Oreochromis niloticus: one gene and its partner. Each later gene encodes a partner of the first gene's protein in a complex. Links are inferred from orthologs where the notes say so. Each region holds a gene or a part of one and is shown in the gene's direction. Other genes may lie near its edges.

Region 1 (12,738 bases):
GGGATTTCATTCATGTTAGCAGCGCCCATTCAAAATGTGCTCATTTGTAATGAGAACACTGTGGTTTGCAACTGTGTGTGCATGTATTTCTATAATAAACAAAAAAAGCCTGAGGTCAGCCACAGGAGTGAAGTTAACATACACACCCCCCTACAGAAACACACGAAACAAAACTAGCTTTTTAGCTTCATAGCATTTACAAAAGCTATGAGGATGTGTGTGCATGCAACATTATATTCATTCAAACACATATAAAGTGAAGCCGCTAAGCCTCTGTCCATTTTCTGTGATATGTATACTGATATGATGGAAGCTTGCAGTAAACATGACAATGGCATGGCATTTTTTTCTTCTCCTAGCTCTGGTTGACGTCACCAAGATGTGGCACCTCCTTAATCTTGTCATCCCAGACACACAGATCTGAGTGAGCACAGTATAAGGATTAATTTTAACTATGAATCATGCAAAGCCACTCTAGTAGAGTCTAAAAAGGTGGTGCTGGAAATGAGTAGAAAAGGCTGCACTTTATGTATCGAGTTCATACGAAAGGTGGCTGTATTGAAGAGCACAACATGAAAGACGCATCAAAAAGAATACAGCAGCCTTTGTGCTTACACCACCTGTAAGCACAACCTTGGTAATAAAAGTGTAATTAAATTTACAAAACAAACATACGCATACAAACCTCATAAAGACAGTAAGATTGTAGATGTTAGCATACGCATGTGTGTTTGTAAATAATAGTACAAGTATAAGCACTTAATGTCCTCAATGTAAAAAGGATGTGTTTATGATGCACAGAAATCTGAAAAACAATTCAACTTCCAGCATGCTGATGTTAGAAAAAAGGAAGTATTGTTAAGACTCAGTTGGGAGCGGTTAAAATATCTCTCATGTTAATAAAGGAAAAACCCTGATTTACTCTCAATAACGCCCTCAAGTTTTGGAGTTTAGACTATTAAGGGTTTATAAACTGTTTGAACTTGCTTACTGTGTTCATCTTGATGTTTTTTTTAACTAAACTTTTATACACCTGAAAAAAAATTGAGCTTAATTAAATATAAGGAGCTTCTTTCACAAAATGCCAACATTATCTGTGGCAAACAACCGCCTTAGTCATTTCTAAGCTAACCATTAATTGTCTGGACATGTTGCAGTATTAACTATAACATGCACAAGTCTGATTATCACAGAGAGTACAAGCAGAAACAACTTACCAGCTCGCCGAGCTTATCCAGATTATCCAAGAAATACTTCACTGACTCACCCTGCGACAGGACAGAGGAGGAATTTCTGTTAATTCTACACAATTAATTAGGTTCTGTCATTTTTACCACAATCAGCAGAAAACATTTTACAGCAATATGTTTGCAAGTGGAAAAGGTGCCGAGATACCAGTGGGGAGAGTGTTTAGCTACCACACAGACAGAGGTAACCTGACTTTTTTCTTTCTCCCGTGTTTGCCCCAGAACAGAGTGTGTTCTGAGGTACTGAGGCAGGATGCGCATTATTTAGTCAGACTGTGACACGTGTTTCTAAGTGTGTCTTTGATGTATACAGAAGTGTTGGTTAGTGTGTGTGTGCGTGGTTAGAAGTGTTTTATTTGAGTTTTTTCCCCAAGACCTTTTCAACACTGCTTTCATGCAGGCAGTGCAAGTCCAGACACGGGGCTGCCAGGACTGAGATGCATTCCTTTATCTGTGAGCTGGTGCAGGTCCTGCACTCGACGTAAACCAAAATACCGCGTGCAAAAAGAAAAACAGATTTAACCCATCGTCTTTCCTGTGACCTGCAGCGCCTCTACTGCAACGCACTACACTCACACAGGGGATTTTTGTTTTGTTTTTTGCATGTATTTTGCATTAATGACACAATAAGCATTTAAATGTTCCCAGTTGCAGCGACCAGGTTGTATTTCTCTCTTACCACCATGTACCAGCATTACCCACCCCAGCTTCTTCTTCTTGTCACCTTTTGATCTTTAGGGGAGGGAAAAAAAAAAAAAAAAACTAACCTGACCTGAAAAACCTGTGATTGTGTGTGCATGTCTGTGTGTGTATGTGCATGGCTAGGATTACCCAAGGGAGGAGCCCAATGGTGTGGCGCTCTACTAGAGTTAAATGAAGAAAAAGCTACTTTTCTGATTTCATATCTGACTCCGCCCGAGTAAAAGGAGCTCATAACTAAGAAGGGTTTGGTTGGTTTTGAAATAATCAAAAATCGAGTCAGATTTTTTGTCCCGTTCTTTTTTTTTTTTTTTTAAAAAGGAGAAGAGAAACAAGAAGCGCAATCACTCTGCGTTCTCCCTGCTGAGGCATGACAACGCCTGCAGAAGCAAAACTGAAACTCAGCAATATGTCATCTGAACCGACACTTACATTAAAGGAAGATGTGACTAAATAATTCTAATACTATGAATCTCAGATGAAAAGATTAAGACTATTGTAAAGAGTAACACTGACGTCTGCACTGCAGGAAGTGAGAGAAGCCATGTGCATACTCACAGCGTTACGTGTGTGTGTGTGTGTGTGTGTGCTTTTTTAAACATGATAATTACAACCAAGCCTGAAGGCACGTGCGATTTGTGATGCAAATGCTTAAATGGAGCACGGTCAACACGAGGGGATTCTGGGTAATCCGCTGGAAATGAAACAAATCTCTTCTCAGAGAAGGAAAGAAATTTTAACGGCTCCCAACAGAATTACTTTTGCCCTCAGGGTTTACAGTGTACTCACCATTAAAACTTAATATTAAAGTTTTGTACACTGTGTAAGCTTGCAATTGATATCCAGTTTCATTTCAAGCATCTAACAATATTAAGTTTATTTTAATATAAGAGAAAAGGCAAAAAAAAAAAAAAAAACATCCCTACTGCTTTTCAAAATGTGTGGTTGGTTTCATAAAAGATGGATATTTGACAAAAACTACACTGTTTTGTACATACATTGATTTTAATACATATACAGAGACTTTTTTGATCCTAAAATAATGCTTTTTTAAAATTAAAGTCAAATATTGTTTCACTTTGTACCCTAGAGCACTTAATTAATTGTCACATATGACTTAAAAATGTCATTTTTTTATAAACTAACTGTCTTGGCTGTACAGTAATATGTAATTGTGTGTGTGTGTGTGTGTGTGTGTGTGTGTGTGTGTGTGTGTGAGAGAGAGAGTGTGTAGCCCTGTGTCTGTGTTCCATTGACCCTCCACTGATATTACACAACAAATAAAGGCTCAAAGCTATTTCTGATCAATTGTTTAGTCTATAAAATGTCACCTCATTTTCCAGAGTGGGACGAAGTGACAGGTGACCTACTATTTGCTTTGTTCAACCAATCGGCCAAAATTCAAAGAGCTTTAATCTGTAAACATATGCACACGTGAAATAAGGATGGGACAATATATTTTGTATGGCTTCCATCTGCGGTATCAATATCTTTATCAACACATGTAGGCGATTTCACCCGGATTCCCTCGCCAGTTTCAGTTGCCGCAGTGCTTATGACCTGTGTTAAGCAAGTTCACACAGACTCACTGCCATATCTATATGCACTTACATAGCTAGTCACCCCCACAGGGGTCCATTATAAGCCACATAAAGCTCTGAAGTGAACTGCTAATGATGATACACATATCCCACCACCACAGTGGAGAATATAAATGTATGATTCCTGCTTTTTCGTGGGCGTTTTTACTTGTTTCGTTTTCACAGATATTGTGATGTATCGCAGATGATCGCCTCGCAGCACACTTAGGCTACAGTGATTCTGTGATACCAACACCTAGCGTCCAGTAACTGAACAGCTAGTTAGGCTTTTAGCGATCCTGCCGCTCTTCAGTTACAGGCTGTTTCCATAGCAGGCTGCTTACATTGTTCCGTTTACTACTGTCACCGAATGAGTCACAATTGTGTGTTTATATGAATGATCAGTCCAAGTGACAGCTCACTTCCATTATTAAATGCACAGCTCCAGCTTCAAAAGTCTAAAAGGTGCAATGTTTTCCGTGATAATTAATGCTTTTGAAGATTTCGGGGGTGGGCGGGTGGAAAAAAGGAACTTGCCAACTTGCAAAATGAATACATGAATAAAATACTTACACTCTTACACAGATAGGTTATGCACGTTAGTGTGTGTGTGACCTTGTGTAACGCGAGGTGTGCGACACTCTTAGTGTTTGTGTGCAAATAACCCTGAGTGGGAGAGCCAGGGATCTGTTTGTAAGCATAAAGCTGTTTAACTACAGATCAACATTCCTGCTCTGATCACACTTATTCCCCTTGTCTGTCTGGAAAGGTTTGCACCAACAAGCTGAGTGTGTGTGTGCCAGAGCAACAAAACGCCATTGAGAAAAGTTTGGTTTTATCCAACCCACAGGCAAATTGTAATTTTCTGCTTTTCATTACTGAAAGCCACTCGGAGACGCGCAGCCCTTATTCTGTCTTCAGTTGGGGGGCCCCTTAACTGCTGAAGTGTTTAAGTTTGTCACATGAAGGCAGGGCAATCAGGGTTATTCCTGTATAGAGAACATTTTGGCAAGAGCCACAGGAAAATCACCAGCCTTGTGATAAACACACTGTTTTCTTAATTGGGGATTATTTACTTGGATAAAATTGACGCATTTTTTTTTCTTTTGCTTACTAATTGCCAGAATACACAGATTTCTGTCAAATCAGGTAAAACAATCAGTGCCTTAACTGTAAAGCCACACTCATGGGAAAAAGAGGCTTATTTTGAGTCAGGAAAATCCCTGACAGCTGGTCATTTTTAAAAAGAAGCCTAAAGTTACGGTAATAAAAGATAAAATAAGAGCATATCAACAGCCCAGAAAGGACATGTGAACGCACTCCCGACCACATCTGCTATTCTGGGGTAAACGTCACAGAGTTAAGACGTGCACACTGACAGCCAAAAGATATAAGCAGCTGGGAGAGGTGTAAACAGGAAGCCTATTGAATCACATGTCTGACCACTCGGCACAGAGAGAGCACCAGAGACTAAAGAATTAGAGCCGAAGATGCAGGGAGAGAGGAAAGGGAGGATGAATTGAAAAGTCAGTTTCACTTTCTGTTTTCACTGCCATTTTCATCAATATGACTTTTTGGAAAAACCCATTCAGAAACACCAGAAAACCCTTCTTGCACCTGGTGATAGAGAGCTGAGATTGAGGACGTTTTTATCAGACAAAACTAGGCCACCATTATCTGTCAGTTATGCCATTTCAGCATATGTGTGTGTGTGTGTGTGTGTGTGTGTGTGTGTGTGTGGGTGTGTCTGTGCGTGTGCTAACCCACCAGCTGAAACTCCCTGCGCCGATCGTAGGCGTTCTGTATGCCCGAGTCTGCCCACAGGGCCTTAATGGCGGGCAGGTACTCCAGGAAAACCGATGTCTCAAGCTGCCCACTGGTCATCTTTGCCGAGCGGGTGTCGAATGCCATCAGGTTGTCGCCGTGTGGCTGGTTGTCTTCATCACCCCACGGGATGTGCAGCTTCTCGCGGGCGTCCACCAGCACACGTATACCTGGAAAAGGAAGTCAGACGGCAACTTAAAAGTGGAAGAGGGTAGTGAGAAGGGCAGGTGAAACAAAAGTAACCCAACACCTGTGTCCTTTAGAGGCCTGCTGTGTCTAAAAAAAAAATGAATAAAATACAAAAAAATGCTAGTGGGGCAAGAAAAAGTAGAGTTGATTTTAAGGTAGCACATGATTAACATAACCCTGTTACTACACAGATTTCAGGGTTTTTCCTGCTTACACAAAATTTCCACCAAAGAGGTCTTAGCCTCCCCTCAAAGGGGGGAAAAAAAAAATCACCACCTTGTGCTAACCATCACTACCAATTTTTCTTTAACTGAGCTTTCATTCAGTCAAGAATAAAGCACATTTTTCCTGATGTAATGATCAGAAATAACAAGAAAATTCAAAACCTTCGATAAAGTATGACCAATCAAGCTTCAAAACCACATTATAAGCCGGGGAAATTCCTGTATTCACAGTTATTATTTACATTTATTTCAAACTGACTGTTTATTCATTAAAAAAAAATGTACAGGATGTGCTGGTCACACCAACACCTTACTTTGAAAATGGCCGAAATAACTGTCGGGTTATACACAATTTTGTGACTATTAAAAAGCGACGGTTGAGCCTTGTTGGTATTTACAGACGATTTTGTTTAACGTGGACTACACCAACGTAAAGATTTCTCTTTCATTCAGTCCGTGGACAAAGAGGAACACCTTACAGCACATTACACTGGCGGGTTGCCCTCCATTAGCTTCATCCCGAGCTTAGTTATTGAGCAACAAAACTTGCCTGTAGCTGATTTAAAACAGCGGGTAGTGTTGGTTAAAGATATCACAAAAACTTGATTCGCTGTATTTAGTATAGCTATGCTGAAATAACCCCCTAAAAAACATTTAAGCTTTCAGGACAAACGAGGCTCCTATGGGTGTGCCGAGAGCAGATGTAGACTGTTTATGTGTCCTCTCACCCAGCCCAGCGCTGCTAAACAGATGTGGAAACTTTCCAGTACCTTTTAACCGAGTAAAAAGGGCGATTTTCACGCCCTTAAAGTTACCAGCCCTCGGTAGCGAGGTTACCTTTGATAACATTGCTGTAAATCGTTGCTCTGAACTCCTCTCGGGCGTGCTGGTCGAAGTCCTGGCCGTGGATGATCCGCATTTGTTTGAGGAAAGTCGACTTGCCGCTCTCGCCAGCGCCGAGGAGCAGGATCTTCACCAGCCGTTTTACATACGTTTTCTCCTTGGAGAGACATCTGTCGATCTCTTTGGACTTTCTCAGCTGTTCCACCTCGCCGCTGTTAAGCAGGCAGACGGGTAGACAAACTTTTAACACGGACCTGGTCGGCAGGAAATCCGCCATGTTCGCACAAACTTCATCGATGCTAATTTGATGCGCGTTCTCGGGCGCAGGCACGGGACCAAGCCCCTTCCCTAAACTCAGGAAGTACCGCTGCTGACTGTTTACCATCAATCTTAAGGCACAGCCTACTGTGCTATTTACGCGGATATGCCTCACATAAACACGCAATATTGTCCGTAGCTACGTTTGAATTGAAACACACAGAAATAACTTTATAAGCAGCATAATGAAAATTACACGCGAATACATTTTAAAGTTCTAGAGGTCCAATTGCCTGATACACTATAAAAAGAATTAATAGGCGTTAACGGCTATAATTAAAGTAAAAAAATAAAATAAAAACAGTTTTCATAATTAACATTAAAATAAATATGAAGGAAAAAAGGAGATTTGACCGGTGGTGGCATGTCGCCCTCTACTGGTGCAGTATAAAAACACGTTGAAAAAAGACGCGCTCCGATTGGTTGATTCGTTTCACACTTTTAGACATGCTGCTTTCAGAGACTGCAGGAAATATTGCTATCTGCACTTGAACGCTCTGCTGCAGATCAATAAAATTTGAAATCTTGACGGAAAAAACCTTGGTTTTGTGAAAGTGGATGTATTTGACCTTCTGTCTGTGCTTTTATGGCATTGATGACATAAAGAGCACTAAATTATTGCCTATATTTAACTAAAACGGCTTCACATTGCAATTACTTAAACCTATTTTAGACAATTCTCTGTCACTCTTATTGGAGCTGTCAACTTTTTATTACATGCCTGAAGTGCCATACGGGTAATTTAATCCTAATTCAATTTAAAAATGATAAATTAATAGCACATTAACAGTTTCCGTTTTTCCAAGTAAGAGGTTTAGGGGGGAACATTTGAAGGCAACATCACCATCGATCAGTATTGCACTTCCCCTCAAGCATCCCCACACGACACACAGGGCTCTCACAGGCGGCAGCAGTGTTGTATGTGTGTGTGTGTGAGAGAGAGAGGTGCAAAGCATCAGACAACATGACCATCCGAAACGTTCTCCGGGATCATGGACAGAGGTACCGACCACGGATGGCTTGTCTCAAAAAGGTGGGCTACACAGCTTACATTAGATGATGTAAACCAGAGCACAGGCTTATAGATTATACCTGCAGCAGACGCATCATTAGTGACTTGTATAAATTCTCTAACGCAATGCTTGGACTGTAGTGGTCTGCAGGAACCTCACAAACCCAGGCTGTTGTTGGCATTTGCACTATAATAATCTATAATATTCTCTGGAAATCCCAATGCTTTCATTGTATAGATTTATTAAGGATGGTCATTCCGTTAAGCATTAAAACCCACAGGTATCATTTGGACTACACCAAGCTTTAGGGAAACCCAATAGCAAACATGCATTTCTTTAATAATATGGACTTTAGTTATTAAGGGTTATTAGAGATGTTATTCATATACTCATGTTTCAGAATGATGTCAACATACTGTAAATCAGATGTCATGTCAGCTTCCCCCTTACACTCTATATAGCTGTCAGACTGTGTTCTGTTTCAACCTTTTCACTGTGATAAGGTCGTTCTGTTTAATAAGCATTAGGCCTGGATCAGTATCAATACCTCCATCTACACCAGCCAGCTGCTGGAAAGAAGTTAATCCAGGCGCTGTGTGAATTGTGTGTGTGTGTGTGTGAGGCCAGCCAGAGCAGTCCTTCATTCATCATCTCATATTTAAAATTCAGTTGGATGGTCACCAAAGAGAATGTTTTAGCATTAGAAAAAAATAATAAATGGAAGGAAATAATCAAGACATGAGCTTCCAGATATAGTGCTCACACAGTGTCCCCCTCTCTCCAGGGGAATGCACACAGAATCCATTTTCTGGAGAACTTTGTGTTTTGGTCAATGAAAGCCCACTTTGGTCCAGCTCAGTCTGGGGCTTATAGCCTCTCCAGGTTGACTTCAAAGCACAAAGCCACTTCAAAAAGAGCCAGGAGTCAGCTACAAACACACTCTCGCTCTCTTTCTCTCTCACACATACACACACATACACATACACATAAAGTGAATTAATGTACTACAGGATTTCTTCCTCTTCCGTACACACCTAAGTTGTGGGGGAGCTCTGGGATCAGATGGTATGATAGCTGAAAAACTGTTTAGAGGGCAGTGAGTCATCGCAAACCTCCCACACAAGCCAAACAAAAGCCATGAGATCAAGGCTTGAAACAATCCCGTCATCTCGCTTCTCACCACTTTCTAATGCAGCATTAAAACTGTAATCCAGTCATTGGACTAAAAAGCTGAACAGTTGTTTGGAGAGTCACAGTAACCGAATCATTCGGCATTCGTCTGATAGGAAGTATTAATTACAAGCTTACACAGCGAGCCATAACATCCCAGGGGGGAAATTTGCCCTTTTTTAATCAGTGAGACGCAGTTTAATGCAGCTTTCTCTCCCTTTCATTAAGTAGAAAAGAGGTTAACGGTGATGCTGTGCATGCTCGAGATTACACTAATGATCATCATCACCGTCATGTGAATTTCACTGATCAAAATTTAGGATTTACAATCAAATCTGCTGCCCCAGAAACCTACACTGTGAGCTCTGATGTGATACCTCCTCACGGGCTTTTTTTGTGCAGGCGGAGAAGGTGGTCCTCGAGATGCAGGACCCCGCAACGGGAGTGAAGCTACAGCCTCAGAGACTGGTTATCACCACAATACCACATGCTATTACTGGTAAAGTGGACACACACTCTCACATACACTACAGTGGCTTGATTATTATCCAGCGGCTCGTTGAGTGACTGTACCTGCACAACCTCGCCGGAGGATACCACGGCGTTGGGCTCAAACTCAGAGCTACAGATTTCATCTCCATGACAACCCCATGGTCTCAGAGACAGAGAGAGGGAAAAAGTAGGAGGTGAAGGAGGAGGATGATGATTGAGCAGGCGAGAGGAAACAAACATGTAGAGACCGAAGCAAGAGAAATGCAGGCAGTAGGTGGTGGAGGAGAAGAGAGGGAACCCAGACTTCTACGTCACCCGCAAGCTTTGAATGCCCGCAGCTGAATGAATGAAAACATACCAAAGGCTTCTTCTCTGCTGCTCTCTCCACTTCCCTCTCACTTTCTTTGCTGTTTTGTTTTCTCTCCATCTCTGATTCCTTTGCTTTTCCTGTTTCCTTTTCCTTCCCCTTTCTCCCTTTCTTTCATCTCACAAGCTTTCCTTTCCTTTCCTTTCCTTTCCTTTCCTTTCCTTTCCTTTCCTTTCCTAGCTTCTTTCTTCCTCTTGTTTCTTTCCTTTGCCTTTCTGTCATTTTCTCTCTTCTTCACTTGTCATCCTTCTCCTCCTCCTCCCTTTTCTCCTTCCATGTCTCTCTTTCACATTAGCTGTCTGGCATTTACAGGCATGCACTGATGGACATAAACAACATACAGTATATTTAAAGTTGTTTGCTGTTCAAGCTGCCCTTTTGACTAGTGTTGTTTATTTCCATAGATCCTTTGTTACTTCTGACCTTGAGTCCTTTTTCCTCAGGTGAAGACATAGTTGCGTGGTTAGCAGACAGATTCCAAATCGATGCACAAGGTGAGAGATCAGGCAGCTGATGCCATCCCAGTTCAAAGTGTGTGCTTTCATAAAAATAAGACAGTTTTAGGATGTTATCATGTTAGCTGACAGTGAAAATTAGTGATAGAACCTCATTTATAGCAAATCTGTCTTTTTTATTCAGAGGCGAGGAGTTTTGGCTCCATGCTGGTGGCGTTAGGATACATCTACCCTATACAAGACCACAAGCGTTTAGTAGTCAAACCAGATGCATCCCTGTATCGCTTCCAGGTAAACACACCACATTTTAAAGCTTAGCCAAAATCTCAGCTGCAGCAAAGCCAAACGATCTTCCAAAACAATATTTCTGGCTATGGGAAGATTTAGTTTTCATTGCTGCACACTGAACAGTGTTTTTGCATGTTGTTAACATGCAAAAGGGATGCACATACTCATGCAGAAACACTAATGTGGCATAGTGTGCAGTCCTGTTCCTGCTATCTAGTGACTCCACAACTCATGCACAAATGCGATGTAAACTGAAGTGCTTGCAAAGGTCATTTAAGTGTGACTGTTGTTTATTTATAAGAAAACAGAAAAGGACAGAGCAGTTGCTAATTTATTAGGTGCAAAGCCTAAAAGATTGTGATAAAAACACATCAGTACATCAAATTCATTTGATGTGAAGGTTAGAAAGTTGCTGTGTCTCTTAGCCTGAGCACATAGCATCTTCTAAGAATAATTATGTTGGTATATCATGTAAGTTCAAAATAAAAATGCAGAGCCATGGAAGGTTAAAAAAAGAAAAGGCTGATTGAGCCTTGTGGAGTAAAATCATGCACTTTCTGGAAGTTTTTCCATTTTTCATTTTTATGCAGAAATGTAAAAATGTGAGAAACCTTTCTTTTTAAAAATGTGTAAAAATTAAATGGAAAATTCCTTCAGTTTAAAACAGTGCTGCATTTTTTTATACTTTTTTGTTCTTTAACAAAAATTGACAGAAAGGCCCTACACTAAAATAAAAACAAACATCTTTGTAAAAACATTCACCATTTTTAAAATAAAGGAATTTTCCATATTACTTTTTACGGATGTTTTTCACTATGTATTGCATTTTTTCAATACATAGAAATGCCCATACACTTTGGCAAAAATTAGAATTTACTGTCAGAAAATTATCGGGATATTTTTAGTGTTTTGAGAGATATTTTTTACAGTGTAATATACATATTTAATTTTGCACTCACTTGTTATTTTTAATATATTAGCTGATTCATTTTATCAACATTATTGACCATGGTAATTTCCCACTGGTAAATTGGTTCCAGAAAGCGGCATGTGCCAGATCTTCTGTAATGGGTTTAGCATCACTGCTGTAACATGTAATGATTAGATTATAAAAGAGTTTACCATTACAAGACACAAAAACCACTAAAGCGAGGTAAAACCAATTTCCGTCCTATTTATTTTATGATGTGAAACCCCAAATTAGTCTGGCTTTAGTTTCCTGAATGACTGCAAATTGAAAACAACCAACAAAAAACACCCTCAAATCTGCAAGAAATGAATCCCACTCACAAAAACGCTTACTGCTAATCATCACCTCTGCCCTCCGTTGTTTGCAGACACCATATTTCTGGCCCACACAGCAGTGGCCTGTTGAGGATACAGATTATGGTGAGTGTATCTGAATGCATCCTGTTACCAAGAATCACTTACCGTTAACACCCATCTATGTTTTTGTTACGGAAGCAATCTACCTGGCAAAAAGAAACATACGTAAGAAAGGAATCCTGGAGCTGCACGAGCAGGTGAGAATTGGACATGAATCCCACGGCAATTAATTTTCTCTGTTGGCATTTACTGAGGTGTTGTTTTATGTCCTCAGGAGCAGTACAACCGTCTTCACAAGTGGATGAATCATAAATGGGATTTTATAGTGATGCAAGCTAAAGAACAGTATAGGTGGGTGTGCAGGAAGCTCAGTGATGTCGGGAAGCGTTAAGGGTAACAATGTGTCATGACTCTCTGTGTTTGGGTGGGGTTTTAGAGCTGCTAAGGAGAGAAAGAAACCGGACCGTGTGGTGTTTGACTGTCAGGAGAGAGCCTACTGGGTGGTTCACAGACCTCCGGTGAGAACACACACAGGCATGTTTCCATCACTACAAAAGACGTTTGTGAATTTATATTTGAAGACTTAGACTAGCCGTCACTACACTAAGTCCTTTATGATTTGCGTGAATGGGAATGGCTTTTTGCCACCAAAAGGAGCTGGGCCTCACTATGTGATTATATAAACACATTTATGTCCCCACAA
Region 2 (12,490 bases), on another chromosome or scaffold:
GGGTGTTATGAAATAGGGTCTGGGTTAAGTTAACATCCACCTTGTCTCTTTGGAACATTGATTTAGAAGAACTTAAGTTCTTCCAAATCATCCATCCATCATCCATCTATACTTTTATACATGGTGTTCACCAGTATATCATGGGAAAGCTCTTTCAGTTTCTCAAAATGTGTCCATTTACCATATGTTCAAAACAAAACCCACCCCAAAGCCTACATGGGTTAATTAGGTTATGTTTAGGTTAGAGCTAGGGGCTGGGGTAAGTCTGCCTTACATCACTGCAAATCAATATAGTGTCCTCAGACACTCAGTCTTTGCGTGTGTATATCTGAAAGTCAAGGTTGAGTGGAGATCTTTGTCAGTTTGGACCTTTGTGGAGTTGAGGCATGACTCACAGTTCACTCCACTGCTGCATGCTGTGCGTGTAAGAGGCCACATAGTGGATAAGGTCCATCTATAATTCAACAAAGACAGACTTCATTTTTCTCTGGTTTTTATTCCCCTCTGTGCTCTGCCTCTTTTTCTAAGTGACTGAATCTTCCTAATTCTACATACAGCTTTTATTTTCCACCTTCTTCTATGCCAAACATTGGAAGCTATTAAAAGACCAAGCTGCAAAGTTAAGAAAAAAAAGAAGCTCAAGTGAGTATAGGGCTACATGGGTGTGTAAGACCCTTGTCATTATAAAAAGCAATGAAATGAGTGGTGGTTTAGTGGATTTTAGAGATGATATTGTGACGACATACAAGCTCACTGGGATATTACAGTTTAGTAAGACTTTTCCTGAGGTTTTCTGTAAGGATATTATCGGAAAAGGATTATAAATATCTTCTTAAATATATATATAGTTCAACTTTATTTGTATAGTGCCAATTCAATGGGCAATAACAACTGTCCCAAAGTTTAGGATGGAGTGGTATAAAGTTTGGTGCCACTGGACTGTAGAGTGGTTGAGATGTGCTCTCTGAAGTGACATATCACATTTCTCCATCTGGCAATCCAACGGATGAGTCTGGGTTTGGTGGTTGCCAAAGGAACAGTAATAGTGTGCTAAAAGTAAGGTTTGGTTGAGAGGGGATCGTGGTGTGGATGTTAAGTCCGTGGGTATCCCGGTATAAAGTGGAGAGCACAGAAATAAGTTGAATAATTTTTTTTTATTATGATACAGCGTTCAACACAGGTTCTTAGGTGGAGGCTGGAAAGTTATACCCCATAAGCATTCTTGTCTCCATTGAGCTACTCTCCCGTGCTGGTCCAATATCCCCTTTTCCACTCTGCATTGAAAGTGCTCTGGAGAGAGAGGGAAAGGCGTAAAGGAACGCACAAACACTGATTCTTGCAATACTGATTAAAAGTATTGTTCAACTGCTAGCGATGCAGTGATCTGGTGTCAGTTGAGAAGAATCTCCAGTTTCCAATTGCCAGAGTGTAATTGGTCCGGCAACCCGCAGGTGTGTGATTGGGTGCTAAATTCAGGTATGTGATCGCCGCAACGAAACACGTTACGTCTGAAAGACAACGCAGAACTGAAAGAAAAAAGAGAGAGAGAAAGAGAGAAGGACATCTCAAACCAGGAAGAGAAGGGAACCATGACAATGGAGTTTTTTCTCAGGTACTGGGCTTCGCCCTTTAGTTCCATTGAAAAGGACTCTTAATGCTTCAGCATACCAAGACATTTTGGACAATTTAACACTTACATCTTTCTGGGAACAGTTTTGGAACTGGGAACTGCACACCAGCGTAGGAAGCAAGGCCCACAAAGACATGGATGCGTGAGTTTAGTGTGGAAAAACTTGACTGGCTTGCACAGAGTCCCTCAATCCGAGAGAACACCTTTGGCATGAATTAGAGAGGAGACTGGGAGCCAGTCCTTGTCCAACATCAGTTTCTGACCTCACAAATGCAAATTCTCATAAACGCACCCCTAAACCTTGTGGAAAGACTTCCCAGAAGAGCTGAAACTGTTATATCTGCAAAGGGTTAACCCCACGGACTAAGAATAGGATGTCACTTAAATGTTAACAAAAGTAGTCACATTGATGACTGCACTAGTGCAAACTTAAAGCGGGCCATAACTAGAAAGCATATTTGGTCATTTGGGAAATATCAGTTAGTGCTGGAGCTTTTTACTGGGATTATCAAAGGGCTTACAGACGTTAGAGTCTTCTAATGTGTTTGGTCAGAGTATCAGAGCTCAGGGGGGAACCGTGTTTATGTCTGTCCTCTTTTAACCATCATCTCACACAAAGTGTAGTGAGCACCAGAGGCCTCCATTTCCTCCCTAAAACCATTGATTCCATATGATGAAAATGCAAGAGAGACAGATCAGCATTCTTTAAAAGATACATTAGTGAGCATTATACTGCTAATCCCAGGACCTGTAGAAAACCGCTAATCTGGATTATAGAATTTGTATCATGTTATAGCACCATTTGTGTCTCCTTTACATACTAAGATGTTTTCCTCCCTTTTAAATTCCTCCTCTTTTTAACCTCTTGAGCCTCTTATTTTAATGCTTAGCTCTTGGTGCATGAAATTTCTCAGTTAAGCATTCCATATATACTATATTTTATTTCGGGAAAATTTAAAACTGGAGTAATTTAGCATCTGATGCTGTCATATACTATAATCTAATAATCTCCATGGAAAAGAATTTTGATATTGTTAGTCAGATTTTTTTCTGGTGAATTCTGCTAATGGAATAATAATTTTCCCTTATGGAAGTTTGTTATGTGTTGTGTATGTGTGTGTTTTTTTTCCTTTCACAGTTTGTATTGGCTACTTGATTTGGTTTAAGAAAAGATAAATTACACTTCTTACAGAGCCTGCCAGAGAGGAAGCAGAAGAGGCAAATTTCCCAAATATTTGTGAACACAGCCACGCCTCAACAGCAGCAGGAGACAGAGGGACTCATCAAAGGCTCAGTGCAGCACAGAGAGAGCCTGGACCTAAGACTGGGGCAATGGTTCAGCTTTTAGCACCACAATGAGCTGAGGCATGTAGCCAAGACAATACTGGAGTGACTTCAGGACAACTGTCATACTGTCCCTGACTGACCTAGTCAGAGCCTGCAATTACAGCCTGTAGAACAACACTGCAGAACTCTGAAGAGAGAAACTAAGAGGCACTTCTTGTTTAAACCCAGCTGTCAAAACCACACTCAAAGCTGCCAGTACTGATGTAAGTGACTAAATACTTTTGTAATAAGACATTTTGGTGTATTTACTTTTTAATGATAAAAATCATGTCAAATATGCCAGTTTTACTTATTTAATTGAAGTATAGAACATAAGCATATAACATGAAGATAGCTGCAAGGTTGAGACTCTCTTTAAAGCTACTGCAAATATTATTTGTGCTTTGAGCTGTTTATAATGTTATTCAGTGTAATACCTTTGGGGTATTTTTTTTTTCTGTTTAAATTCATTGTGCAGCAACACAAGAATCACAAGAAGAACAAGACTCCACAATACCCTGAACTCAACATCAAAGATTGATATTTGGACTACATAAAAAGACAGAAGCACCGGAGGCAGCATGAATCCAAAAAGGAAAGATGGCAATTTTTTAAAAAAAAGCCTGGAACAACCTTCCTGCCAAATACTCTGGCAAATACACACTCATACATCTATTCAAATATCATTTGAAAGAATGAGACCAAAATGGAGATTTGTGGCCATGAAGCACAGTGCCACATTTGGCAAAAACCAAACACAGCATGTCAGCACAAACACCTCATACCAACCGTCAGCACAGTGGTGTAGAGTTGGGCTTATTTTGCAGCCACAAGACCTGGGCACGGCGCAGTCAGTGAGTCAACCATGAAGTCCTCTGTGCACCTAAGTATTACAGAGTCAAATGTGTGGTCATCTCTCTGACAGCCTAAAGCAGTTTCAAAATTAGGTCATCTAACACGACAATTATCCCAAACAAAACATCAACTCTACAACAGAGGGACTGGAAAAGGAAAACAATCAAGATGTTGTAATGGCCCAGTCAAAGTCTAGATTTCAACCTGAATGAAATGTTGTGGCAGGACCTTGAGAGAGCTCTGCATAAATGTACTGAAGCAACACTCTAAAGAAGAGTGTGTCAAAATTCATCCACAACGATCCAAGAGATAAAGTTACACAGAAAGCAACTCAGTGTATTGGAGCTAAAGGTAGTTCTATAAGCTACTGAATCATGGTATGTACTTAGTGCATCAGTGTAGCTCTTCCAGGCAAAACAAAATTGCTATATGTGTCTTTTTCTTTGGGATCTATATCAGTGTAAATAATCTAATGATTTACTGATACTGCATTTGTTACACAAACAGAGATAATCTGTGTAAAAACAACAGTAATATCTGGAGAGCTTCCATATCATTTTATTGTCCTGTGCAAACAAAAATTGGAAATCAAAAATTGAGTTTTCCATCATGTGTTGGCACTGAGAGCAATCAGATCACTGCATGTCTGACTCATCACTTGAATCTAACACAGCAGCTTATCAGCAACCTTTTTACAGGAGAGGAGAAAGACAGATAGGTAGACAGACAGAGACCATGGCCAATTTTCTAATCCTGCAAGTCCGACTTACTTTACCGTGCCATCAGTTATTTATAAAGGTGATAAAGTCTGCATTAGCCCAGTTATACGTTTTTTGGGAAGTCATATGGTCTTTAATCTTTTAATGAATTCCGATATTTTTGATTATTTTTTTACACTTTAAATTCAAGCTCAAAATAAGTTAATGAAAGCCCATGAAATGAAAATGGAAATTGAGTTATTTGTTTAGTCTATGTAAAAGTTAGCTCCTTAAGCAATTTCATGAGAACATGAAATAAACAACAGAAAACAACTGATTTGTAACTTTAAATGCACAAAGTGAAAGATGACATCTCAGAGCAATGTCAGCAATTAAATACCTTGGAGAAAAATAACCGAAGAGTAGTAAGAGGTGAGAGGTAGCCATGGAAACATATTCATGAAAGGAAAGACGATCCATTTGCCAAGATCATCTGACTCAACCAAGATATTTGTTATTAGTCAGAAAGTGCTGAAATGGCTACCAGCACTTTAAATATATTAAACAGTGCAGTTTACAGCAGAGCCACATATTGTAATCTTAAGATGGGGATCTGCAGATGTTAGTCCACAGTTACCTTATAAACCATCAAATATGAGGCGTGGGTATGCATAATGTTTTTAATGAGTGATATGAGCAAAAATGGTTTTCAAACTAGGAATAAATTGAACAGAAGAAATCAATTCCCATGCCACAGCAGATGTCATTTTATGTGAAACGAACAATAAGCCTCTCACTCAGTTCCTCAGGCATTCACTGCACTCCAGTCCATTAGCTTTGCACTGTAGTCACTGGATCATTAGGCCCCATCCGCTTGAATAATGCAAAAAGAGCAAAGCAGGCAAATACCACTCAGCCTTATGTGCCTCTCATCTCTCAACACAGCAGGAGCCAACTAAACAACACATTATCCATCCAGTACTGCGTGCAACAACAGGCCTCCTCCCAGTGTGCAGGCAGCTGCGGTGACAACCCACAAATTATCCACTTTTACCACACTTATGAAACTGAAAAAAATAGCAAGTAGTCACATGAGAGAAAAACTGAATACTATTTCTGCAAACCTGTGTCTCGTAATCACATCAGCTTAGCTGCAAAATCAGATGGAATAACACACCAGGAGAAACAAAGTGTTTTATCTTTTTATAGGAACATATGACTGAAGGTTTAGTCAGTTTATGAAAGATCTTTTGGTATCAGGGTATCATCAGTTTGTTTTGAGTTTCCTTTCAGTGTTCATTGAACCTGATTACACATAGCTGTGACGGTCAATGGTGCAATACATGTTAAACTGATGGTAATTTTTTATTCTGTTATTTTTAGTATTGTAAAATTATAAATTTTTGATATGCTGATGAAAAGGTGGTGCAGCATCGTCAGTAGTGGGTTTTTTTAGCAGCTTTTCAAATGTATCACCCTACACTGCACTCTACACTCGTCTTTATCAGATACACGTTGCTAATCCTGGGTTGGAAGCCTGTTTTGCCTTCAGAATTGTCTGATTCTTTGTTCCACAGATTAAGGTGTCAGAGATTTTGGTTCATATTGACATGATAGCATCACACAGTTGTTGCAGATGTCAGCTGCACATCCATGATGCATCCCAAAGGTGATTTAATGGACCGAGGTCCGCTGACTGTGAACACACTGTCATGTAAAATATATGTAAATAAAATAAAATAAAACCACTTTGATTTGATCTTTGTGACATGGCTTGTTATCTTGCTGGAAGCAACCATTAGATGACAGGTACACTGTGGTCACTAAGGGATGGACATGGTCAGAAGAAATACTCAGGTAAGTTGTTGGCGTTTAAACAATGCTCAACTGGTACTAAAGAGCCCAAAGTGTGCCAAAGATATCTCACACACCATTACACCACCATCAAGAGCCTGAATCACTGATACAAGGCAGGATGGATCCATCCTTTCGTGTTATTTATGCCAAATTCTGACTCTATCTCTGAGTGTTGCAGCAGAAATCAAATCATCAGACCAGACGATGTTTTTTGAGTTTTCTGTTTTCCTGTTTTGATGAGCCCACACAAATTTTAACCTTGCTTCCTTGTCCTTAGCTAATATGAATAGCTCCCAGTGTGCTCTGTCTGCTGCCGTAGCCTATTTGTTTGGGGTTCAATATCAAAGATGCTCTTCTGCATACTTTGGTGGTAACAAGTGTTTATTTGTTACCACCAAGTTATCGTTGTCTTCCTATCAGCCCGTAGTAGTCTGGTCATTCACCTCTGGCCTCAGCAACAACAATGCATTTTCACCCACAGAACTGTCACTGACTGGATAATTTCTCTTTTTTGGGTCATTCTCTGTAAACCCTAGAGATGATTATGTGGGGAAAATCTCAGTAGACCAGCAGTTTCAGAAATATTCAGTGGAACCTATCTGACACAACCAACCATGCCACATTTAAAACCACTTAAATACCCTTTATTCTCATTCTGGTGCTCAGTTTGAACTAAGGCAAGTCATCCTTACCATGTCTACATGTCTACATGCAGTGAGTTGTTGCCATGGGATTGACTGATTAGTTATTGGCTTTACCAAGAAGTTGGAGAGTTCCTAACATAGTGATGGCAGGCATACATTATGTATTAGGGTAGATTTATCACTGTGCTGCTACCTATTGCAGCTTAGTTGAAACTACAGTGCATTTTGATGTTGATGGCAATATAACCTCTATTAACACAGGAAGTCTACAAGCCACATATATATACACTGCAGGGCATCAGAGTTTGATTATTTTATGGCCATGGAAAGGGAACTGTGGGAACGAGAGAGAGTACCAGTGAAAGCTCTTTAGTCTAGACTCCAGCAGTGAAGATGAAGTAATAGGCAACACTGAAACAGACTGAGGATAGTTCCATCTGGGATGAAGAGGAAGAAAAGAACCATTCATTTAAACAATTCATACTAAAAGTATAGATTGTTTAACTTAAGTAAAAATGATATAAATAACAATCTTATTTTTTATTTATTTATTTTATATTCCTCTCTGGGATGACCAGTCTTTATTTTTCCTCGTGCAGCCGACTATAAGCAGGGACCCTGATGACAATGGTATTGTCAGAGAGTTAAGGTGTTTGTGATTTGACTTCTCTGCTGATAGACATCGCAGTTCTGCCCACATCACGGACAGTGCAGCCAATAGCATGAAGAATGTAAACCAAACGCCTGTGTGAAAAAAAACCAATGGGAGTGAAGCTGTTTGCTTCCCAGCCTGCCTCTGCCTGTCGCTGAATAGCACTGTTGTGCGTGCACATGTGACTACAGAAGGCGCTTACTGGTATTTAAAAATCATCGATCGGGTGCTGAAGTGGACAGCTCCTCATGCAGATAAAACAAACCAAAACAACAATGGCTCGCTTTGCTCCTCACGGACGCTGAATGGCGAACCTAACTTGTCCGGCAGCGCAATTTCTTTGAACATTTTAAGCTGCTGAAGGGAAAAGGCACCGAGCTCTCTACGCAAACGGTTTGGCGGATGTTGTGACACCTGTGGCTGAATCGGGATCGCAATTTCATAAAAGGGTGGTTGGATTGTTTCACGTTCGCATCCGTCCTGCAGGAGACGGGCTCCGGAGCCGTTTGATCTCGTGTGGGAAAACACAAAGGTAATCTAAAGCCTTTTAGGCTACGGACGCATTAATTTCTAAGCCACTCTCTGTATCTGCTTGCACAGGAAGGAGCATGGATAGAGAGGAATTTTCTCTCACCAGCGCGTTGAGTGGATTTGGAGAGCGGGTGGTGAGCTCCCGTGGAAACTAAACCGAGGTCAGTGGCTAAAGCATTGCTCGAATAAGCGCGCTGTTTGCAGCTGCCCTCTTTTTTAATCATTTCATATTTTCTAAGAAGGATATAGATTTTTTTTTATCAGTCATGGGGAAAGAGGAATGCAAAACAATGCTGGACGCTTTGAACAAAGTGACCGCCTGCTACAGGCATTTGGTCATCGCTCTTGGGAGCACTTCGGACTCGCAAAACCTGCGAGAGGAGCTGAAGAAGACCCGCAAAAAGGCCCAGGAGCTGGCGGTGGCCAACAGGACTAAACTGACTTCTTTGCTCAAAGATAAGACCATCAGCAAAGAGGACCGGGCCGAGTACGAGCGCCTGTGGGTGCTGTTCTCTAGTTGCATGGAGCTTCTTGAGGTGGACATGAAAAGGTCCTTAGAGATAGCACAGGATTTCCCCCTCAAGGTGCCCACAAGACACCTCATCCAGACAGGGATGACCGGCAGCACCACTACGGTGGCGGCCCGGGCCATGAGCGTGCAGAATATGAAGTACGAGGCGGACAGCAATATCGACACGGCAGACCTCAGAGACCTGCAGGCCGAGATCACCCAGGTGAGCCAGATGATGGAAGAGATGGAGATGAAGGTGCAGGTGGCGCCGTGGGCCGTTGAGGCGAAGCAGGAGGCAGGCGCTGAGCTCAAGTCCAACATGAGTGTAGGGAATTCCTCCGTGGGTGTCATCTCGATCTGCGAAGAGGAGCCCAAAGAAGAAGAAGGTGGCGGAGGGAGCAGGGAGGCTGGTTTTGCGTCAATCTGCGCTGTGATTGGATTCTTTGTCATCGTTATAGTCGCCTTGGTTCTAGGCTATTTGGTTGTCAATATGTGAACTTTCTAACCAAAAGCCCACCCTGATGGACATCCTGTGAAGCTGCCCAGGGAGCGGTAAGACTCTGCAGGCCCATAAGAAAGAGAAAGAGCGTCTTTTTGGGCTTGAAAAATAATGTGGACACGGAAAAGTTATTAAGCTTTCCTGGATTTGTGAATGTATTTGGCGGAGGTGAGAAATTGCACTAGATAAGCTAAAATGTACTAGAAGAATATAGCCAAAGTGTGAAAATAATGGGAGTGAGGTACAAAAAGTATTTTTTGGGGGAGGGCCAGTGGGCCATTTATTTTTGGAAGAGGGTGGGGAAAAAGGTCATAAAATTACGTGACAGAGTCTAGCCATCAGGATGATATAAACAACACGTAATCCAAGTGGATTAGTGGAAAAGCTCAAGCAGAAATGTAGCCTACGGTTAACTATTCTCATGATGTTCTGTGGATTGATGCTTTGCATTCAGAAAAGTTAGATCTGCTCAAACAAACAGGAAAAACATCTAAAGAACGGTTGTCTTATTGAAACTATAGTGGAAGCCAGCACAGTTAATCTCTGCTCCTCAAACCACACTGGTTGGATGTTATCAAATCTGCACTCTTCTACACTCCTGTCAGCACCGTTTAAATGCGTCATAATAATCTGTATAGCCAGATTGTAATAGGCCTGCATCTTACTTTACTGCATCAAATCACAATGTGCTTGATGAGAGCCTTGGGACCGAAGAGATGTTCACTGTCTTTTAATAACGCACCCATTCACTGTAAGCCTGCTCATGTTCCTTTTCAGGGTTCTCTTGCACAGTGTTGAATGTACATTGCAACATGAATAGAAGGTTTGTATATACTGCTGTTTCAGATAATGTACATACGATCAAGTATATTTATTATAATAAAACTTCGAAACACACTTGAAAATATGCTTGTAGTTTGATAGGTGTTTTACAAACAATGACCAGGCATGCTTGTAAGGTCCCTTTGTGTGAAGGTTTGGTAAGTTGTGTACCTGGTAACTCATAACCAGGCCTAGTTTGTAATCACTGCAAAGCTAAGCTAGAGATCTATACATCTAACACACATAGAGATATTTTAAGAGGGGAATTATCTTAGACTTAACCACCTTAGGTTTAAAATAGTACTTAATTTAAATGGAAAGGAGACTATGCTTTAACTCCCTAATAGTTTTACATCTAAGAGCCTTTAAGGGTATTCCTGGATTGGCATCCAGTTGAACTGGAAGCAGTCAGAGTCAAAGTTTCCATGCAAGTGGTTGTTAGTTAAGGGTAGATGCACACTAAGACAGTCTTCTTTAGCCCAACATAAATATGAATTCAAGTTAGTTATTAATTTGCAGAACAGAAACAAGTGCTGCTCCAGAAATATTTTCAAGTCACATACATTGGTACATTAGGCTACAAACAACAACCTTAACATATAGAGAGATAATGCATCTAATGCTTATCAAACCATCCTAAAATTCATAAAATAATATTATGCAAGGATTGAAAGCATCTTCCACTTTTAAACTCCACAGAAGGTTTGACAAAAAATGTAAAAAGTCGAAAAGACAAAAGTACACTTAAAAACAAAGATAGCAAATTTGTTGGTATAAGCATGCATGTAGATATTTTCAGAAAGGTACATGTGGGTAAAATTTTAAATGATGAAAAATGTTGGTCTAAAAATAACAATGGTCATTGAAACTTTGTCATAATTTGGGTTGAAAATCACAGTAACTTGTAGTTTGATACTTCCAGGCTAAAATATGGAAGATGGTATCACACGACTCCATTTCTTACATAGCCATAATGTCTGTGTAAGTGAAATAGAAAACCAGATTTATGCACAAACACATTGCATTTTTGTGTCAGAGTGTGTGTGTGTTATCATTATTATTCATTTAAAAAACAAGCCAATTCATGTAAGTAGGTGTCTAATTTTCTTTCCCCAACAGACCACCGTGTTCATCCTGTGAGTTTCCTCATCTTCATTGCAAGTTGGTTAACTTATGTTCACTAAACTCTCATTCATTTGATGAGCGAAACAACAAACAGTCATGAAAGTAACGACTCTGGTCATCAGTCAAATCAGCAGTGGGTCCATTTAGATTGACAAAAGAGCCAATTTAACTAAAAATAATAATTCAAGATAAATATTTACACAGTTTGATGCAAATTTTAATGAAAAGTCTGTTTAAATGCTGGCACATGAAAAGCTGCACATCACATGAGCCCTGATAGGACCCTAATGATCAGCTTCTTCACTATTAAGGATATGTAAAACCTTGTAAAGGTATTCAAGTTTCAGATTCAGATTCATTTCCTGTTTCCAGGAAATGAATCTCTCTCTCTTCTCCACCTCTCAATACAGAAATCCTGTGGAGAAACATTAAAAGAAAATAGTATAACAAAGTAAACAAAGTAGATAAAATGCAAGATAATTCATCTTCTAGCAAAAAAGCTGAAAGCATTCTTTGGTAAGACTTTGATGTGTGAAAATCAGTGGCATGCTCTACTCACATCTGATTCACAGTAGGCTTTCTGACATCTTGTTTATCGTTGCTGTCATTTCACAGAGGCACTATGCTCTTCTAACAGTGAGTCATGGACCTTGAATCTCTCGAAACTCATGACAGACTTACATTGTCATCCGGAAATCTAAAAATATAAAAGCGATTAATTAAACATGAGGATGAGAGGGAGGAGATTTAAGTAGAGAATGAGATGAAGCATCCTCAAACGCTGCCCTTTAAAATTAGTTCCACTCTCTTCCAGAGGAAGACGAGTATTTATGCAACATGCAACTCAGAGACTGTTTCACTTTTAAATTGCTTTTTAAAAATTTCGGTTATGCAAGATGTTCCTGAAAATAGCCACAGCATCAAATATTTAGAGTGCTCCATCACTCACCTTTACAGGTGAGTAAATCAGGTTTCTCAACATCTGTTTGGAGGTATTTTATTTTAACTTATGCACAACAAAACCATGTATTTGCTTCATTCGCTCGCTTGGATACAAGCACACTAAGCAGACTGGTTCACAAAGAGGTGAGCTACACACTTGGCAGACACAGACCACTGCATCATCACTTCATCTGGACTTAGATGGTGGGTTTCCAAGGTTGTGAGTTGCCATAGAAACCCTTAACATACTCTGCAAACAGCACAGAAGGTTGAGCAGCGTTATTTCAACTCACCCGCTTTCTGCCACCACCATCCTACACACACGGCACTCTGAAGCAGAAAGAGATGAGATGTGAGGACAGGGGAGGGCAAAAGGGGACAGAAGTTCTGCATCTTTT

Evidence for each region.
Region 2: regulator of G-protein signaling 9 (region 1) and regulator of G-protein signaling 9-binding protein share a complex: the UniProt entries of both Homo sapiens proteins name them as parts of the RGS9-1-Gbeta5 complex. The link is inferred for Oreochromis niloticus from reciprocal best matches to the Homo sapiens genes RGS9 and RGS9BP.

Annotation. Positions count from the first base shown.
Region 1 is NC_031973.2:8,864,976-8,877,713, reverse strand, and holds the start of regulator of G-protein signaling 9, read left to right. Parts: upstream 1-7,729; 5' UTR 7,730-7,888; coding exon 7,889-7,957; intron 7,958-9,509; coding exon 9,510-9,606; intron 9,607-10,409; coding exon 10,410-10,460; intron 10,461-10,605; coding exon 10,606-10,712; intron 10,713-12,046; coding exon 12,047-12,098; intron 12,099-12,173; coding exon 12,174-12,232; intron 12,233-12,309; coding exon 12,310-12,386; intron 12,387-12,471; coding exon 12,472-12,553; intron 12,554-12,738. Other genes in the region: guanine nucleotide-binding protein subunit alpha-13, read right to left, coding at 1,218-1,268, 5,294-5,520, 6,601-6,883. UniProt on the Homo sapiens protein: Inhibits signal transduction by increasing the GTPase activity of G protein alpha subunits thereby driving them into their inactive GDP-bound form. Binds to GNAT1. Involved in phototransduction; key element in the recovery phase of visual transduction.
Region 2 is NC_031965.2:26,980,790-26,993,279, forward strand, and holds regulator of G-protein signaling 9-binding protein, read left to right. Parts: upstream 1-7,784; 5' UTR 7,785-8,459; coding exon 8,460-9,200; 3' UTR 9,201-11,946; downstream 11,947-12,490. UniProt on the Homo sapiens protein: Regulator of G protein-coupled receptor (GPCR) signaling in phototransduction. Participates in the recovery phase of visual transduction via its interaction with RGS9-1 isoform.